Linked DNA regions of Tribolium castaneum. The protein of the gene in region 1 interacts with the protein of each later gene in a pairwise test. Links are inferred from orthologs where the notes say so. Each region holds a gene or a part of one and is shown on either strand. Other genes may lie near its edges.

Region 1 (4,505 bases):
ACAACGTCCTTGTGCTTAGAAAATGTTTATTATTTGTATCAAATCCAACATTAATACGCTATGTAGATATCGAACATAAAGCGCAATAATTGCGGAAATGCATTTTTGACGAAGCGGATATCACACACAATTACTCAAAATTGCTGTACTTAGGATGTGTACAATCAGTTATTTTTTTTTTCAGTAACGCTGAAGCCATCTTGTATAGATACTAAAAAACTACTATTGTTTCGACTGTTAAATATTCGGGGAAATACTCGATTATTTAAATCAAGTTGACTTGATTTGGCATAATCAGCTTACATTAATCATATTATTTAAATATTAACAAAAAAAATGGATAATTTCGTAATAGTATTTTCAAAAATAGTAAATAGGTGAAGGTAATGTAAAAGAATTAGCAAAGTTTTCGTTGCAAAACTTGCTAAATAATAAGATTTCCACATTTTCATCTCTCAAGATAAACAGAAGAAAATCTTATTGAGTTGTTTTATTTTTGTCTAATCTTTATCGCAACTTATAGCGAAATTTAAAAAAAATCCCTACAAAGGTTATTGCTGCAGCAAATAAAAATTACAGGGGAAAACAAGTTTTTTTTTAAATTTGTATTTTACATTTGTCATCAACTGTTAACTACTGCTTTAAACTACTACTCTGTCTCTATTCAAGGAAAAAAACAGTGATTATCTGTTGTTATTATTACATTATTTCTCGTTTTTTTTTCTGAAATTATAAACGGCTAAATTCTGTGTATAAGTTGAACTAAATAAACTTGTTTTCTTGGAAAATGTGCCATTACTTTGCAAAATTTACCTATCAATGAAAAAAATCCGCACGTGTTTGATGAGCAATTTCGGTGTAAAATATTATAAAAACTGATGAATTATGAATCTAGCTTAATTAACTCAATTAATAAAATGTATCGTTTTTCAGAAACAAAATTTTGTAAGTTGTTTAAATCAAAATAATAATTGCAAAATTAGTCATATATTTTGTGATGAGAAACCAATAAATCTATCGATATAAAGTGCAAAACCTTAAAATATTATCTGTTAAACTTTTTAACCAGGTTATATCAAAGAAAATGTGGAAAACATTTTTTTTAATTTAATACGTTTCTACAATATAACTTTCTAAAATAATATTTATAAAAATATACAGAGTTTCTCTGTTATTATTAAAACATTTGTGAATCCGATTATACTCTATAAAAATATTTTGAAAAATGAAGACTGAGAGGAAGTAAAATCAAAACTTCAATAAAAACTCTTGAATGGACAAATGTCGTGCTTATATCGGCCAAAAAGTATTGAAATGAAAAAATTGCGTTCGGGGAAATACTCGATTTTCCAAAAATCAACAGATGAAAGTCACTAGATTTGGTGATATAGGTGGAGACACTTCTCGGAGGATACTGAAGGAACCTTCCCACTTATATAAAAGATAGGTAAACATCTCGTCTAACGTGTACTAATTAGAAAAAATATGATATTAGTTGTTACCATATTGCAAGATTTATTTATTAAAAAAACAGTGAAGAATTCTCATTCTCGTCCAAGAACATTCTCTTCGTAATCCGCGCCTGCGTACTAGACCCGGCAGACTCGCAACATTTGACTGTATTCAACATGGAGATTTTGATTACAAGAACATATAATTTCTAGATAAGTTCCAATTAAAGATGTGTAGTGTGTTTGGTCTTACGTGTGATTTGTAATAAATAAAATGTCTTCCAAGAGGTAAGTTTCGTAAATTGTCCAACAGTTCGCCCGCACGAGCCTTGTCAGTCTAAAAGTTAACCTATTTTTCTTATTTTTGAAGTCATCGAAAAGCTCGAATTAGCCCTCTAAGCCTTTGAATGTTTTAGTGAATTGAAGAAACTGTCTGAGGAGAGTTTGACTCGTCAGCCGGAGGAAGTTTTCGATATAATATGCAAGCTGGGGGAGGGATCTTACGGGAGTGTTTACAAAGCACTCCACAAGGAATCTGGCCAAGTATTAGCAATTAAACAAGTACCTGTGGATACCGATCTTCAAGAAATCATCAAAGAAATCTCAATCATGCAACAGTGCGACAGCCCCTACGTCGTTAAGTATTACGGGAGTTATTTCAAGAACACTGATCTGTGGATTGTCATGGAGTACTGTGGGGCCGGCTCCGTCTCCGACATCATGAGGCTGCGCAAAAAGACCCTCACGGAGGACGAGATCGCCACGATTTTGTCCGACACCCTCAAAGGCCTAGAATACCTGCATTTGCGTCGGAAAATCCACCGGGATATTAAGGCCGGTAACATTTTACTCAATTCAGAGGGCCACGCGAAGTTGGCTGATTTCGGCGTTGCCGGGCAACTGACGGACACCATGGCGAAAAGAAACACTGTGATTGGTAGAACATAATCGCGCCACAATGGCCGCGTTTTTTCACGTTTTGTTACAGGAACCCCTTTTTGGATGGCTCCCGAAGTTATACAAGAAATAGGATACGACTGTGTTGCTGATATTTGGAGTTTAGGAATTACGGCCCTTGAGATGGCCGAGGGTAAACCACCCTATGGTGATATTCACCCCATGAGAGCAATATTCATGATCCCAACCAAGCCGCCCCCTTCGTTCCGGGAGCCTGACAAGTGGTCGCCCGAATTTATCGACTTTGTTAGCGTTTGTCTTGTTAAAAATCCCGAGGAAAGGGCGAGTGCCACTGATTTACTCAGTCATGTATTTATAGGTATTAGCACATTCCCGCAGTTCAAGTCACTCTAACCTTGTTTTAGGTAATGCTAAGCTCCCTAGTATTCTAAGCCAAATGATTCAAGAAGCACACGAAATTAGAGAAAACCAAAGTTATAGGAATGTATCCTCTGCTGCTAACATTGTAGGCGTTAGGCAGAACATCACTGAAGAATCAGTAAGTTTGACAACAAAAATTGAAACTTTTAACCGATTCTTCAACAGGATGATGAAGTAGCTTTAGGCAATCAGACTATTCTTCCTTGTACAGATGAAGGCACCTTGGTACCCGGCAAAGGTGGCACTTTACTGCCAGTATCACAGAGTGGTACTTTAGTAGAGCTTGGAACCATGGTTATCAACAGTGACGTTGACGAACAAACCATGAAACGTAAGTTCAATTAATTGCACACAAAGATCTTAAATTTATCTGATAAAAAAAATTGAGCGTGTGAGCATTTTAAAAACTAAATAATGACTCAATTAAAAGTAGCTTTTGGCTCTAAATCAATCATATTTTGTAATTTCATGTAAAAAATGTCTAAATTTATCGGTATAAAAGGTAAACTGTTAAAATATGTCCTGAAAATTGCTACTTTTTACAAAGGATTGAAATAACAGCCTGACCATTTTTTTGGACCAAGTTATACCAAGATGGTGAGATAAAGGTAGCAAAGAGCGCCACCTATCGGGGTTATACCAAATAAGAAAAAAGTGTTCCTCTTATTGATTAACCGGCAATCGGAAAATTAAACTTAATTTCAAAAATAATATTTGTGGAAACATACAAGTGTTTCTCTGTAATCTTTAAACATGAAACATATTTGGTAGCATTTTGCTTTTCCTAATTCGCCCACCACAAAATAAAACTAAATTGTAAGAGCTTTAATAGTGACAGTCACCGCCAAATTTCCTACGATTTTTGGAAATAAAACTGACTTATTTAATAATTTTATAACGTAAATATGGAATTGAATAACAGAAAACATTAGCAGCTTAATTATTATCTAATAAGGTAAGGTATTAATAAAACTTGGTAAGTCTGTAACAGTGTTCTTAAGAATAGTAAATAAGTAAAGGTAAGATAAAGTAGATCTACCAAAGTTTTCACTGCATTAACGTACGAAATAATGACTTCCACCTTTTCATTTTTCAAAATAAGCAGAAGAAAATCTAATTGAGATATGTTATTTTATTTTTGTCTAATCTTTATCGTAACTTATAACAAAATAAAAAAAAGGTTATTGGTTCAGCAAATGAAGTTTACAGGATATTTTTTTCAAAAGTTTTTATTTTACATTTGCCGTCTAGAGGAAAATTGACTGTTGAATGCTGTCTCTATTCAAGGAAAAAACGGAGATTATCAGTTATTATAACATTTCTCATGTTTTTTTTTGTTTTTTAGTGAAACTGTAAACGACTAAGTGGTATTTTAATAATGCAATAACAAAACTTCAATAACACAAAATAATTAGAACTTGATTTTTTTATTTTAAATCAATCGTATTTTGTAATTTTGTGTAAAAAAATATGAGCATTTATCGGTATAAACGACAAAATGTCAAAATATTTCTTAGAAATTGCTACTTCTTCTACTTCTACTTCTACTCTACTTCTACTTCTTCTACTTCGTAAATAAACGGATCGAAATAACCAAATAACAGAGTCTGACTGTAAAAAGTGTCTCTTTTTTTATCAACTGGCAATTGTAACATTAAACCAATGTAAGAGTTTTTCTGTAATTTTTAAACATGAAACGTATTTGTTAGCTATTTG
Region 2 (2,826 bases), on another chromosome or scaffold:
GGCCTAAAGCGGGTCGAATTTACGCAAAATCTCTTCTTTGGGGTTGAAGGGCACTTACTTTATCAGCAACAGATGTTATCCATTAATTTTTTATAAAGAATTTTCTTATGGAAACGGCACACACATTCACAGCGAACTGGGATGGGCCACACCATAAACAACAAACGATCAACGATGCTGAATCGACTAAACTACTCTAACCTGCAAATGACACCTTGTTCCACATTTGTATTTACACAGTGTGTGTCACTTTTGTGATAACACTGTTTGGCTTAGAGATGAACTTGCACGTTGGGGTCATGAAATGATTCATATGGTGCGAAAAGTGATCTTATTGATTGATTATCGGTCGGTACTACTTTTCGCCTGGCCTTTAATCGGCGGAGGAATACAAAATGGCGGGCAAACATTTAAAACATTACGTCATTTTATATACATAGCAATGAGTGCCAGCGTCACGCCCCACAAATAATAAGATGCTCAACCTCATTATTATTATTGCAGTTGCTGCATTTTTCTATTCTGACTAATAGCGCCACAGTATTGGTGACACCGTGTTTGTGGTCACTGGTCGCAGGATGCTCTGAAGCGTAAACAAAATAGCATCGTTTTTTTTTCAAAATTTTTGGTGTCAATATAAATAAAAGACAAAGCTTCATTGCAGTTTTATTTAGTTCTTATAAAAAACGTTTTAACAATTAGGCATCTGCAATGGTTACTTCAACCTCCACGCCGGGCTCAATGTTGATTGAGGTGATCTGTTTGACGATTTCAGAGGGGGAGTGCAAATCGATGACCCTCTTGTGAATCCTCATCTGGAATCGGTCCCAGGTCTTGGAACCTTCACCACAGGGCGTTTTCCTGGTGGTGATCCGCAAGATCTTGGTTGGCATGCGGACTGGCCCCTTGACGCGCAATTTTTGCTTCTTGGCGGCGTCAATTAAGTCCGAACAGACTTTTTCAAGCGAACGGACGTTTCGGGATGTTAGGGTGATCCGGATGTGGTGGATTGGGGGCGCATCCTGGCCGGGTTTTTCGGGGTTAACCTCTTTGATAGCAGATGCCTTCAGAAAATGAAAGTGGCGTTATTTTTCCATATTACCGTTAGGATTACAGAAATAAGGTCGCTTACCATTTTTTGATAACTTTCTGGTCGAGATAATCAACTTATTTCCAAAAGTTGACCAGCGCTGAACCAGAATTTACCTGGTGCTCAGCCACGCGGTTTCAAAAGTGAACGAGGTTAGGGAATTTTCTCAACACGCGGATTTGGGAAGTTGGGGATACTGTTAATGTTGCGGGACATTTAAAAATTTCGGTAATAAAAAGCAAAGTTATAATAAAGATTGTATTTTGGAAATTAATACAATTCAGATTCTATTGTTAATTACTAAGAGCTACTAGCATAGACATTTTGATAAGACAACAAAGCTTGCTAAAGTTCTGGGAAAATAAAAACACTATTTGATTTACATGTTCCATCTGTAGAAGCATAACGAAGAAATGATAAAAGTACACTGCATTTAAGAAAATAGATTTTTACAATTATCTTTAGACTGCACTCAACGAAAGAAAATTGGTCATTTAAAATCTGCTCTTTACAAAAAATATATTTCTATTTTTGACTATTTTATACAACCGTACAATTTTGTAAAAAATTTTAAATGACCAACAAAACAGACTTTTTGGCTTTAGTTTTACAACATAAAATCGCACGCACGTAAATAATCAAATAAAATCTATTAAAATAATGAAAACAATAGATAATTAACAAATTTTATTTACTTCTCTCCAACAAAAAATGTTCATCTATAATAAAATCTAGCTTAAGATCTCAAAGATAATCATAATTATCAAACACATAAATACTATATTTTAATGCATGTGGAATATTATACAACAAATTGAAACAAATTCTGAGAGAAAAACTTGCATCTCTTACCTTCAGAACTCATTTGCAAAGACTATCCCGGATACGTTAAAACTAACTTACTTAATAATTAGTTTGCCAAAAATGTTATCTGATGAAATGCAAAGTGTAAAATATGAATAAAACGAAATACAAACTTTGTACTCGGACATACACATTGAAGGTTGGTTTTATACAAACTTTAATTCTATAACGCCTCAACAAGTTCACGTTGATATAAGCTGCAAAAATGAAATTGCATGAGAGGAGTCACAAAAGCGAAACAAAACTTACAGATTTTACAGTAGACTTTATGAAATCCTTTTTGTGTGCGAGATCAAAGTCAGGATAATGTGCATAAACTTGTTGACAAACCGTCTTCATTGTGATCTGTTCCAAATTGGCGCCTTCTAAAATTTCTTTCACGTAGGTTTTTATCTCATCATCCTGGAATTAAATTGTCATAAAGAATGTAAACAATTGACTTAAAACATACAGTTGGAGGTTGAGCGCTCTTTGCTGCTTTTTTCACTAAAGGTTCGTCTTCAGAAGAACTGCTTGCTTCCTTCTGCTCGCTCTCTTCCTCCTCTTCTTCGTCCTCTTCGGAACTGTCTTTGTTCTTTTTCTTTCCAGCTTTGGTTGTTTTCTTAGTAGGCGGCCTGCCCCGTTTTCCAGTTCCTTTTCCCTTATTTTTATTGTTAGCTTTTGCAGTCTTCCTCCGTTTAGATTTAGGCTCTTCCTGGAACTGGGATCAAACATTTTAATTTCACACTGAATACGTGTTTTAAAACGTATACTCACGTCGCTGTCTTCGTCTGAAGTAGCACTTTCCATATCGCTCTCTTCTTCGTCCTCAGAGTCGATCTTTTTGCGATCAACACGTTTACGTTTCTTAACTGTTGGCTTTTCATCGCTGC

What was found.
Region 2: the proteins of hpo (region 1) and RpS20 interact in a two-hybrid assay, tested with the Drosophila melanogaster proteins (2 studies listed by BioGRID). The link is inferred for Tribolium castaneum from reciprocal best matches to the Drosophila melanogaster genes hpo and RpS20.

Annotation. Positions count from the first base shown.
Region 1 is NC_087403.1:7,369,951-7,374,455, reverse strand, and holds the start of hpo (serine/threonine-protein kinase 3), read left to right. Parts: upstream 1-1,579; 5' UTR 1,580-1,725; coding exon 1,726-1,739; intron 1,740-1,867; coding exon 1,868-2,388; intron 2,389-2,439; coding exon 2,440-2,727; intron 2,728-2,773; coding exon 2,774-2,907; intron 2,908-2,954; coding exon 2,955-3,120; intron 3,121-4,505. UniProt on the Drosophila melanogaster protein: Plays a key role in the Hippo/SWH (Sav/Wts/Hpo) signaling pathway, a signaling pathway that plays a pivotal role in organ size control and tumor suppression by restricting proliferation and promoting apoptosis.
Region 2 is NC_087396.1:10,995,974-10,998,799, forward strand, and holds RpS20 (small ribosomal subunit protein uS10), read right to left. Parts: upstream 1,291-2,826; 5' UTR 1,136-1,290; coding exon 1,133-1,135; intron 1,065-1,132; coding exon 699-1,064; 3' UTR 655-698; downstream 1-654. Other genes in the region: protein DEK, read right to left, coding at 2,137-2,151, 2,204-2,356, 2,406-2,654, 2,711-2,826.